3 linked regions of the Nothobranchius furzeri genome follow. The protein of the gene in region 1 purifies or fractionates together with the protein of each later gene. This does not show direct contact. Links are inferred from orthologs where the notes say so. Each region holds a gene or a part of one and is shown in the gene's direction. Other genes may lie near its edges. The genes, in order: bbs12, bbs7 and mkks.

What was found.
Region 2: the proteins of bbs12 (region 1) and bbs7 purify together in Homo sapiens (co-immunoprecipitation; 3 studies listed by BioGRID and IntAct, counting the BioPlex papers as one, with this or other methods). This does not show direct contact. The link is inferred for Nothobranchius furzeri from reciprocal best matches to the Homo sapiens genes BBS12 and BBS7.
Region 3: the proteins of bbs12 (region 1) and mkks purify together in Homo sapiens (co-immunoprecipitation; 4 studies listed by BioGRID and IntAct, counting the BioPlex papers as one, with this or other methods). This does not show direct contact. The link is inferred for Nothobranchius furzeri from reciprocal best matches to the Homo sapiens genes BBS12 and MKKS.

The regions. Positions count from the first base shown.
Region 1 is NC_091741.1:73,113,210-73,117,389, reverse strand, and holds the start of bbs12 (Bardet-Biedl syndrome 12 protein), read left to right. Parts: upstream 1-1,336; 5' UTR 1,337-1,447; intron 1,448-4,180. Other genes in the region: uncharacterized protein cetn4, read right to left, coding at 574-702, 798-953, 1,157-1,159. UniProt on the Homo sapiens protein: Component of the chaperonin-containing T-complex (TRiC), a molecular chaperone complex that assists the folding of proteins upon ATP hydrolysis.
Region 2 is NC_091741.1:74,284,411-74,288,732, forward strand, and holds the start of bbs7 (Bardet-Biedl syndrome 7 protein), read left to right. Parts: upstream 1-1,410; 5' UTR 1,411-2,255; coding exon 2,256-2,291; exon of another isoform or gene 2,292-2,335; intron 2,336-2,430; coding exon 2,431-2,496; intron 2,497-2,662; coding exon 2,663-2,725; intron 2,726-2,808; coding exon 2,809-2,984; intron 2,985-3,071; coding exon 3,072-3,258; intron 3,259-3,352; coding exon 3,353-3,425; intron 3,426-3,511; coding exon 3,512-3,619; intron 3,620-4,322.
Region 3 is NC_091752.1:1,560,291-1,564,430, forward strand, and holds mkks (molecular chaperone MKKS), read left to right. Parts: upstream 1-1,215; 5' UTR 1,216-1,422; coding exon 1,423-2,404; intron 2,405-2,538; coding exon 2,539-2,720; intron 2,721-3,023; coding exon 3,024-3,134; intron 3,135-3,215; coding exon 3,216-3,644; 3' UTR 3,645-3,688; downstream 3,689-4,140. UniProt on the Homo sapiens protein: Probable molecular chaperone that assists the folding of proteins upon ATP hydrolysis. Plays a role in the assembly of BBSome, a complex involved in ciliogenesis regulating transports vesicles to the cilia.

The DNA.
Region 1 (4,180 bases):
ATTTCTCAGCACTTTTTCTATTTTATTTAATGTGTTCAAATGTTGTTACTGAGTGGTTCAGTTGTGGGACAAATGTGTTTTTTTTAAATATGTGTTTGATTGAGCACTTCTCCATTTTCCAAAGCAAAACCATTGCCCTTTACCCCTCCTCCGTTAATCTTTCTGCTCCATCTGCTGTATCAACAGCCCATTACATGCAGAAAGCCAGGTGGGAGAGGTGCTTGAGATCGGAAAATTTTCATGCATATCTCAGTCAAACTCATAATTCTAAGAGTGTAGTCTTGCATTCCCAATTTGTTCTGACCAACATTCACAGACAATGCATTTTATTATTCAGGGACCTAAGATTCCCTGTAAAGAGATCACACAAAATTGTCTTCTGAACAGCTACATTTCTAGCCTAAATAAACTACTGCAACAGCATATTTTTTGCACTTATTCTATTGTGTAAAAGCTTATTTTGAATATTAAACTTAGTTATATATTACATTTACAAACCAACGCTGTAGGTTCTTGACAGTTCATTCTATCTTGTGTTACATGATTTAGTTTATTTCATTTTTGTTGACTTACCATTTTCTGAGTCATCATGCTGACAAAGTCATTGAAACTAACTGTTACAGAGCCATCTTTCACAAAGTCTGCAACCATCGCCTTGATTTCATCTTTCTTTGGGTCAAAACCAAGAGCTCTCATAGCAACCTGTTGCGAAAAATAAACAGATAGAAAAACTTCTGCTGCGGATGGACTGGGGTATCAGATAATCTGTGCACAAATAATTATTCTATGGATCTGACCTTTATCTCTTTAACGTCTATCGTTCCAGTTCCATCTGTATCGAACAGATTAAACGCCTCCTTAATTTCTTGAAGCTGGTTCTCGGTCAGTTCCACTTTGCTATTTGCCTTTTTCCTTTGGCTCGCAGAGAAGGATCCCTTCCGGTAACTCGAAGCCTGATAAATAGAAAAATAAATGTTATTTTAAATACATTAAGTCACCTAGCGAACTCACAGAGGAGCACGGGTTCTGCTAACTAGCAAAGAGCTTCCATACAGCACCATGAGAACAATACACTAACTTTAAAACTGACCGAGCAACCTCTAAATAATTTGGCAGCAAAAGATACTTGTATGAATGAAGGTCTCTAAAAGTATACCATTCGAACAGATGAGTCGATCGGGAAAGCTTTAGCGTTTGAAAAACGGATGTCAACAAAACAGGTAACAAGTTACAACGGTAGTTTTTTTTTTGGTCCAAATAACCAATAGAAACTAGGAAAAAGTTTAATGGAAACATATTAGCCAATCACAACGTAGAATAGGCAGGCTCTAAACGTGTCGACCAATCGCGCAATCCGTTTCTTGTCACCTAGCAACTGAACGCACAACGCATGCGCATTGGAAACAAATCCCTGAGGTAGCTGACTAGACGTTTCAAAGTCTTAAAGGTAATTTCCTTCTTTTTAATCTATACAAAAAAGCTATTTTGGTGACGACTTTTTAATGATAATGTTGTTGGACCCATTCATTATCATACATTTTCCGAATGTAGTAATATAATGTATATATTATTAACACGTTAGCTTAAAGCTAACACTGAGATTGGGTCAAGTTAAGTGTACTTCTCTTTTTCTGCGTGTATCTGCTTTCTTTGTTTGATATAATTGAAAGGCATAGATAAATGTCAAGCAGATGCTGACCAAGATTCCATTTGAAAAGATTTTAACTCTTCAAGTTGCAACTTGCATGTGCTGCAATTTTCATTTCATTTATTCATTTATAGAGCACCTTCCACAACCCTTAGCCGAAGCCCAAGGTGCTGAACACAATAAAAATCAATCATACTAACAAATAAAATAACAGTAATTAAGTAAATTTCAGGATTGTCCCTACTTAACTAGCTTTATTAAGATAATCCTCAATGTGTTAGCAGCTTTACAATATTTAAGATGAGCAGCTATTTTCTTTTGTTTCTGATCATTCCTTTCTACTCTGTAGTGCTTTCACCCAACTGTAATCATCAAACATTTTCTCTATTACTTTGTGCTGATATTTTGTTTTGAATTTCAATCTAAGATGTTCTCCTCTACAGAAACATACAGCACACCTAAGTAAAATGAGGTTTGGATCCCTCTAAGACAGGGATCTTGAACTCCAGTCCTCGAGGGCCACTGTCCAGTTTTAGTTGTTTGTCTGTTCCAACACTCTTGGTTCAATGGTTGAATTGCCTGTTAATCACCTGGTGATTCAATTCAGGTGTGTTGAAGCCGGGAACCAACTAAGACCCAGTCCAAATACTCTCACTGCAGCCTACAGTCCTCCAGCAAGTGCATGTAAGACTTAGAGTATGTTGTAAGTGTGCATATTGCAGAATTGAAAGAGTGAACATTGCTTCATTGACCTGCGTCAGTGTCATGTCTCTGCAACTTCCTAAATGGGAATGCTGGTCACTGTTATTGCTTCTTGATTATTGATATTACATGATATTAAAATGGAATGATATTAAAACAGTGATTAAATTGCTGACATGTCATGTTCAAAAATAAATGCCGGTCTTGTAGCAATGTAGTTGTCCCCGGTAGAATTTGTTTCCCCTGCTTCAGGCGCCAGTGTTATGTCGATTTGAGTTCCCCTCCCACAAAAATGAACACTCACCCTAACACTTACGGTAACCATAACCACTCAGTCACCAAATATGTATGTTTAGCAAAATTATGATTTATAAAATAACTCTGTGTGGGACAATTTTTATGTGTCTTATAGGGTTATGGTTAGGGTAAATGGCCTGTATTTGATATAGCGCCTTCTAGAGTCCTAGAACCCCCAAAGGCGCTTTTCAACACAATCGGTCATTCACCCATTCACACGCATGCTGATGGGGATGAGCTACAATCAGGGTCCGAAATTAAATTTTTTACTCACCGCCGCCGGCCAAGTTGGCCGGTAGATGATGAAAATCTACTGGCCAAGCATATTTTTTACCGGCCAAAATTCTAAATGATTTAGATCTACCTAAAGCATGTTATTCTATATTATGTTGATTCCAAACAGAGTGACAAAATAATTAAAACATCAATTAATAAGGAAAACAAATCTTTTGTCATTTTTACTATTTATTTATTTATTTTTAGAGATGTTTTTATGAACTCTTTCATTGAAATCTAGTCAGACTCCTTGTTTTCTCTGTCCATGAAGTCTGGCCTCCTGCTTCTGACACAGTCTCTGTGCCAAAGCATTACAGCCTCATTTGGGTCCTAGTCCTTGATCTCTGGAGAACACAGCTGCACCATGAGAATATCTGAAAGTGTGTCAGGGCTAGGGTTGTCACGGTAACTGGTGTAGCAGTAAACCCCGGTAAAAAAGTTGACAATAAATAATAACAGTCTTGTTTAAAAAAATATATATATATATTATCTCGGTGGATTTCCGTGGCTGCGGTGTAGGCGCGGTGACCCTTTCCAGCCACCGTATCATCTGCTGGAAGTTGCCGGCGGCACATGCGCACTTTGTTGTTTATGACCAAAACTTTCTTTGAGCTAAAGCTGAAATAATGGCAGGAGGAGACGGCAGCACTTGGGACATTTATTATCCCTCAAAGAAGACAAAGTCGGAAGTATGGGCATTTTTTGGATATTTGAAGAATGCCGAGGGCCAGTTGTCTGTGAAAGGCAGCAACGCTACGTGGCCATCATAATGTAGCCATTGTCTCACGACTCCGCCGTCTCCAGTTCGCCACTTTTCACAAAATCTTCTGGTTGCCACTGGTCCTGGTGGTTTTTCTTCCAGTTCGACGAGTTTTCTTTTGGAAGGCTGGCTGACTCCAGTTAAAAACCGCCACATTTCACCGCTAGTTTTAACACGAAGCTAACTGCTAACTTGATAAACTGATTGAATGGGATAGGTGGAAATGACGTTGGATGCGGCATTCACGTTTCGCGTACGTTTGTGTAAGTTGCATGCAGGCGGGAGGAGTATCAGAAATCCATGGAAGATGACTGATAAACATAACTAATTTGGTGCAAACATTTACTCGCCAGGTGGCAGGTAGAGCTCAAAAATTTACTCGCCAAATGGAGCAATTTACTCGCATTTGGCGAGTGGCGAGTGTTAATTTCGGACCCTGGCTACAATGTAGATACAGCTGCCTTGGGGCGCACTGACAGAGGCGAAGCTTCCGAGCA
Region 2 (4,322 bases), about 1.2 Mb from region 1:
ATTAAATATAGTTTCTCTGTTTTAAAGCAAATTATATTTAACTTTTTTCATGTGTTTAGTGTTCAACACATTTTCCTCCCACCCTTTCTGCTTAAGACCACATTTTTATGACAAAGATCAAGTTCTCTCTTAATAAAGTAGTAAAATTGATTACTTGTCACTTTAGTGGTTGACTGTTGCCTCAGAATCAACAAGTGTAGCTTTAATAAGCTACAATTCAGATTCAGATTAGTCATTCAATCTGTGCAGATGCATTGCAGAACAAAATTACAATAAAATAAAAACAGGCTAGAATATAGACATGGGAAAAAATGGAACTGTGGCAAATGTATAGAAGATTGCACTTTTTAAGAAGAGGTACATGGTGGTCGTATAAAAAAGTAACATAGACTAATGCATGTATACATTTGTATTTAAGATTTCTGCTAACAACCAGTGAGTTTTTATGAGGGGCTGTCAAGGCCATTTATTCTGTTGCACATTCTCACACAGATGCATTCTTGACACACACAAACTGAATGCCATATACCTGTGTGTGTGTGTGTGTGTGTGTGTGCGTGTGCGTGTGAGTGTGCGTGCGTGCTCTGTCTTCTCGATCCCCAGTGAGTCGTGGTGGATGGCTGCTTATACTGAGCCAGGATCCTCTGGAGGTTTCTTCCTGTTAAAAGGGAGTTTTCCTCTCCACAGTCGCTAAATGCTTGCTTAGTATGAGGATTGCTGTAAAGATACTGACACCAGTCAGTGACTTGATGCAATTAGCTGGGTTCCTTATATAGGGAACTTTACTGATTGGCTTAATGAACTGACCTTTATTGGATTGTTTACTTTGTGTGGTACCTTGAGACGACTCTTGTGATTTGGCGCTATATAAATAAACTGAACTGAATTGAATTTTTTATACTGCCCCGCCAAAAAACAGTCACCTGAATATACTGAATGACCAGGTTATTCCATCTTCCCTGATGGCATGGGTATATTCCAAGATGACAGTGCCAAGATTCTTCAAGACGTCAGTTTCACACATGGATTAGCCATAAAGTTATTGGAATACAGCAACATTGGTTAGGGTTGGAGTATGGGTTAACCGTAGCAGTAACAAAAATGAATGGAAGTCAATGAAGGGTCCTCACAAGTATAGATATACCAATGTGTGTGTGATTGATTAAATGATTGAAACGTTTATTTGAACGTAAGACAATAAATTTCAAATCAATGAACATAGTAAAAAAATGAAAAGATATACCAATTTTTTTAAAAGTCTTAGCCCAAAGGGAGTATTCAATCCCACCCCCTTGCCACACACTACAAATCTACTTTAAATAAGCCATGTACATTTTTAATCTACATCTCAGGATTACATACATCTACAGTAATATAACTTCCAATAAGAACATGTTGTATGAGTATTTCTGTAATAACAGCAGAGATGATAGACAATTATACCAATGACAATATTATAGTTTCCAGAAAATAATAGGTCGACTCAATGGCTCAGAATTTCATGTATGTTGAATATCATATAATGTGTGAGTATGTGTGTGTGTGTGTGTGCGCGCGCGCGCGCGTGTGTGTGTGAGAGAGAGAGGAATGTATGGATAAGAACGTGTGTGTATGTGAGGAAAATTGATTTATGGCCGAGGGACCCTCCGTTTTGAGCATTGAACCCCCAATTTTTACATTAGTTTATCTTAAGATATCTTATTAGCGTTATGACTGGGTATACTATATACAAAAAGTATTTATCTTGCTGACGTATCTAAGGTATCGAAGATCAGTGGTTAAAACCATGAATCTGCTTTTAAACCGCGAGGAAGCCAACCAATCAATTTGCAGCTTAAAACTCTGCTGGTTCGCTCTCATCCAATAGAATCGCATCGTGTTACAGGATGTACTGTTGCCATGGTGACTGCATTCTGCTGCAAGGCGTGTGTACAGTAGGCTTAATTTTAGCTTTCAACAGAATTCGAACTTTAGACCAGTTTCTGGTCTGTGTGATATCAATACTTGGACCTTGTTAAAGATGGCGAAGAGGACAGACAGCTGACCGGCGGATTAATCGTGTTAGCCAACGTTAGCACGTCGAGCTAATCTTCTTGCTGAAAATAATCCCATTCTCAAATGGCACCATTGTTCCAGAATTCCGCTTGATTTTCTTTTATCTGTATCGAGTTGTAAAAGGGCATAGTATCATTCTGAGGCCAGAACGCTCACCTGGAGTATTTTTCTTGTACTAAATAAATCCTTAAAGAAAGAAGATGGAGCTCCAACTCAACAGAGTTGATTATACTCAGGTAGGAAGCAGGAGCTGCTGAGGTCTGCGATACCTTTTTAGAAGGTGGTGTTTTCATTAGATGCATTTACTATCGAAGTTGGTTTGGTTATGATCTCTTAATTTTTAATGATCGGTGTTTAATCCTGCTCTGTGATTAGGTTGGTGTAACATCACAGAAAACCATGAGGTTACTTCCAGCGGTGGGGAAAAAAGCAACTCAGAAGGTACTGTTTACAATTCAGGACATTCGGAATAGTGTGAGGGTGGTGTTTAAGCAACGGGTATTAAACATATTCTAAACTCAGATCTTCTATTTATTGTCTATGTGTGAAATGTTGTTAAAATCCATGTGTAAATAGGTTTAATATGTGGGTGTTTATTGTGTTTCAGGTTGCTATAGCCGATCACGATGGTGTACTTACATGTTTTGGCATGAAGAAGGGGGAGGCTGTGGTGAGTTTAGAAGTCATTGCATAGCTGGTGTTAAAGTCAAAAGAAAGATTTCTGCTATAGTAACATCTGACTCTGTGTTTCAGTCTGTGTTTAAAACGCTTCCGGGCCCCAAAATAGCCAGGATGGACCTTGGAGGTGCCATAGGAACCCCCCAGGAAAAGATCTTTGTCTGCTCTGGTTCTCAGGTTCGAGGATTCACCAAGAAAGGCAAACAATTCCTCACCTTTGAGGCCAACCTCACTGAGAACATTAATGCCATGTAGGAATAATTTCTTATCAGTTTGTTTGATTGCATTGTTTTGCACCGTGTGACCTCCACTGAGTGATGCTGTAATGTTGTTTTCAGGCATGTCTCAGGAGCTGATCTGTTTGTATGTGCAAGTTACATCTACAACCACTACTGTGACTGCAAGGATCAAGACTACTTTCTCTCTGGAGACAAAATAAATGATATCATATGTTTGTCCTCAGAAAAACTCTTGCGTCTCACCCCAGTCTTGGCATGCCAGGATCGAATTCTCAGAGTTTTGCAGGTAAATTGAAATCACATTTTTTGTTTGAACTTTGTTCAACTGTTCATCTTCAAACACCCAGATATGACAGTGATCTATTTAAAACTGGTCATAGGGATCTGAGCTTGCTTATGACATTGAAATTCCTGGCCCGCCATCTGTACTGGAACTCTACAACAAAGATGGAGGCAAGTCGGTTTGTGCACTCTAAAGATAAACTTTAAACTGTTTAGTTTTGAAGAAATTAAATATACATATTTTTCTTCCCCTTTAGGTGATGAAATCCTTTATGGAACCACAGATGGGAAAATTGGACTGGTTCAAATTGGTGACCACTCAGCTGGGATCAAATGGGAGATTGACAATAACAAAAGGAAAGGAGGTGCAGCTTTTTTATGGTTGTATATTTTAGCCACTAACCCATCCATCCATTTTCTGTTTATGTTTATGTTTATGACATATTTCCAGTGCAATAAATAAACAAACATTTTCGGCTGCTTATCTGGGGTCAGGTCGCGGGAGCAGTAGCCTAAGCAAGGAGGCCCAAACTTTCCTCTCCCCAGCCACTTGAGCCTGCTCCTCCGTGGGAATCCTAAGGCGTTCCCTGGCCAGCCGAGATACATTATCCCTCTAGCGGGTCTTCTTTCAGGTCTTCTCCCAGTTGGACGTGCCCGGAAAACCTCACCAGGGAGGTGTCCAGGAAGCATCCTAAATAGATGTCCGAGTCATCTCAACTGGCTCCTCTCAACGTGGAGGAGCAGTGGGTCTACTCTGAGCCCCTCCCGGATGACAGAGCTTCTCATCCTCTTTAAGGGAGACCCCAGACACCCTGCGGAGAAAAATAATTTCGGCCGCTTGTATCCGCAATCTTGTTCTTTCGGTCACTACCCAAAGCTCGTGACCATAGGTGAGGGTAGGAACGTAGATTGACCGTTAAATCAAAAGCTTTGCCTTCCAGCTCAGCTATCTTTTCATCACGTTAGATCAGTACAACTGCAGACGCAGCACAAATCCGTCTGTCAGTCTCGTGCTCCATCGTTCCCTCACTCGTGATCAAGACCCAAGATACTTAAACTCCTCCATTT
Region 3 (4,140 bases), on another chromosome or scaffold:
ATTGCAATAAGAGTCTGTACTCATTTTATTTGAATGTATGTACATTTAGATTTTTACCATTGTGGGCGCTTATAATGCTTTTAGTAGTGGACATTGTAGTTAAATTATAGGATTTTTATGGGTTGTATTTGATAAATGTTTTGTCTTTTTTTTGTCTTGCATGAATTGTTTTGGTAAATGACCCCAGATGTCGAGCTTTTATTTTGACAACTAATAGGGATTCATATAATAAACAATAAAAATAGGTTTAGCATTCAAATGATAATAAAAACAATATAAACATCATTAAACCATTGTTTATCTCTTAATACCATACTGGAACAAGAATGTGTGTGTTATATAGTTTGTGTTCACCTACCTTGACAGTAAATTTAAATGGAGCCATTGCACAACATCAGCTTTCACCTGTAAGACACAGTTACAGTAAAAACAGTCATGCCAGCTCAACCTCCACAAACAATAGTTTTATCACGATTTTGATAAGGTAACCAAGCAAGGCCTCATCTAAAAATAGTTTATTAATAAAAGTGATTACTCCAAAATGTTAAAACACTTTGTTGGGTTATAATATGTAAAATTTCACTGACTTAAATGAAGTTTTTAAAAAGTCTACCTAGCTTCTTGTACTGGAGTTCATTAGCTATGTTTACGAGATAAATAGTTTATGCTAACCAGTCGAACGTTAATACACTTCTAGTTATTTTCACAACAACGACATACATTGTTTAAAAGGTAAATAAAAAAGACGTCATTAGTGAGTTAAGATTTCCTACCGCCAACAGGTTTGAAACGCCAACATGGCAGCAAGAGATGTCGTCATATACATTTTGTAGTCCTAAGACCGCTGTAGTTCTAAAATTGGACCAAAGAGTTTAGCTGTTCTCGGATGACAAAAAACGAGAAAAATCAAAAGTATCAAAGAAAGCGTTCAAGAAATGTGTTTCTCTATATAAATGAGGACAACTGTAATATTTTTAGTAGTCACTCAACTAGGACCTCATTAATAGCGCAGGACCCAACGCTGCGAGTGCTACCATGGAAACGAAGGGTGTCTGTAACTATGCCTGTATTAACTTTACATATTTGTAATTCAAATACTTTCAAATATAAAATAATTACCATTAAATTACTTACATTATGCTATTATTTCTGTTCAATTTGTAAATACTTAGTTTAAATAAATAATAACGTATATTTATTTTCACTTTTTGACAGGCATATTTAGGAGTTCTAGCACACATTAATGCCTGAGTAAAGCAGGGACGTTAATGTTTTCGTTCTATGGTTTCCTGACAGACTAACTAGACTAATGTCTCATTGCGAACCAGTGTTGTGTTGCCGGTGTTCAAAAGTAGTTAATCGGTCTATCTGTTGCTGTTTAGGCGTCGACCTTGTGCTAAACTTGAGTTAGCTTCTCGGGTGATGTCGCGCCTCGTGAAGAAATGTCCATCTGTTTGTACGGATTTGCCTCTGAGCAACGCAGATGTTTGTGGAAAGCTCCGTTTAATGATGGAGCTTCTGAGATCGTGTTACGGTCCGACAGCTAGGCTTAAACAAGTTCATAATAACATTGGAGGATTGGTGGTAACGACTTCGACGTCTTCTGTTCTGCTTCCAGCTATCACATCCTCCCATCCTCTTATTAACGTGATGAAATCCTCCCTTCTTAGTCACGTCCACCGCTTCAGTGACTGTGGCTTGTTTGCTGCTATTCTCTGTTTGTCTCTTGTGGAACAAGCAAAGCTGTCTGGTGTCAGAGAGCATGCTGTGATCAGAGTAAATAATCACCTGCTGGCTATGTGCATTAGTTACCTACAACAAGATGGCTGCAGCTGCAAAGTCAGTCTTGACTTCTGCAGGAGTCAGAACCTGATCGCTTTAGCTCGTAGTGTCATCTCCAGCAAGCCAGCGTGTGTTCTGACTGAGCTGGAATCACTCCACATCAGCAGGTTGGCAGTGCATGCCTTCTTACTCACTGTTCCCTGCAGCATCCCAGGTACAGTCAGTCTTGGTAAAATAGTGACTGTTACCATTAAGGGACATTCTGTCCTGGAATCTGCCGTGTTCACAGGCTTACTGGTAGACGTGCCTGAGGACAATTTCTTTGACACGAAAGACAGCTTTTCTGCCCCGCTGCTTATGGTTTTGTTCAGTGCATCTTTGGCTGGAGACCTCTGTGAAGTAGGTGAAGGTGTGATCCAGGCTCACCCACATCTGGACACTGCCTCACAGATCCTGGATCAGCTTCTAGAGCTTGGAAAGCAGGTGGTTAAAGATGAGGTGAGGGTGTTTGTCTGCCAGAAGGTCATCCACCCAGTTTTACAGCGCTTCTTGAGATGTCACGGTGTATTTGTCATTGAGAGACTTGGAGTTGCTCTGATGGAGCCACTTACTCAGATGACAGGTACGCGTCATGGCGATTAGCAGTTATACTCATTTATGTCATTCTGTTTGAAAATATAATTGTAATTAATGAATCACTGGGACACACATAAATGAAATTATACCCTGCATCCTAAATATTCTTCTTTGTTATAGGTGCTCAACCCGTGGCCACATTACACAGCACCCCCCCAGCCGTGGCCTATGGGAAGATAAGGCATCTCAGTGTCAAGCAGTTTGGTCCCAAGAAGTTGCTCCATTTACAGCCTTTCGAGGAATCAACAGTCTGCACCATGGTTCTGTGTCACAGGAACGAGACTATGCTGAATGAGCTGAAGGTTAAAAAAAAAGGTTTTAAGCAGCAGTGTGGAAGTTTTTGGGATCAACGTTAGCAGATAAAAGGATTATAGAATTGCATCTTTTGTTTGTTTTTGAAGTTGTTCATTTAACGTGATTTATAATTTGTGCACACAACAAATACAATCATGTATTAAATGCTATATTGAGTATATTGTGAGAAAATATTAATTATATGATTGCATAAGACAAAACAAACTTAAATGACCTGACATCAGATGTATATCTAAAGTCAGGGAAGTGTCAAACCAGTCATGTGACGTCCTTTTATGTTTGTTTTAAAGGTGGTGTCCCAGAAAACCGAGCATGTATTGAGACTCACCCTCAGGGAACCATCTGCCTTACTGGGAGGCGGCTGTACTGAGACCCACTTAGCTGCTTACATCAGACACAAGGTTAATCTCTGATTTTAAATTGTTTACATTTGAATTTTCATATCACCAGCAGAGATGTTTCATGGTTTTATTTTACTGTAGTGCAAGAATGAAGTATCAGAGACAGCAACAGGATTGGGCTGCTCGCAGACGGAGTATCTTCTTGCCGTTGAGGGATTCTGCCACTCTCTGGAGTTTGTTGCCAGCTCTCTGGAGCACGATGGTGGGACTTCTGTCAGCGATCTGACCCATGCTCACAACTGGACTTTCCCTCCAGACATCCTGGAAGAACAAATGGATGGGAGTGTGGGATTCTGTGGCTGTGGTGTGGTGGGAAGCTCTTCGAGTACAAAGTGGACTTTTCTGAAAACAGAACATCCAGGTTTCTCTCCTGTTCCTGTTGTTAGAGACACTCCTGTGCAGCCAAGTGTGCTGGACTCCTTCGCAGCTAAACTCAGCGCATTCCAGGTTGCCGTGGAAACGGCTAACCTTGCACTGGATGTGAGATATGTTATTCAAGATGTGAACTGATTAAACTTTCATCCTCTGATGATAAAACTAGAACAGATGCTGCAGGCTGTTGTTAAATTACTCTTTGTTCTCAGAAATGAGGAAAACTGATTTTATTTTAGAACTCAAATCAATGCAAACAAAACATTTCAATGTTTTTTTCCAACTTGTTATTACAAACAAACCCACAGGATCATAACTGTGATCTTGTTGCTTGATAGAGTGAAAGGTGCAGTAGGAAATGTTTTTCTGGAGCTTGTTTTTTTTTTTTGCCACATTGCTTGAAGTGCTCCTCACATGCTGATGGCAATAAACTAAATACTTCATTAAAAAAAAAAGGAATAATTTAATTGCCTCTGAAATGTAGAATCCTGAAAAAACCTCATCCAATCATTGTGAACATCTCCTCCTTTTCGATTGGCTCCTGATCCGTCCATCAAACTGCCCTCTGACCGTCCCTCCCCCCTCAGCGCATCCCCTTCTATGTGCATGAATCACACGTTCGCAGCTCAACAGG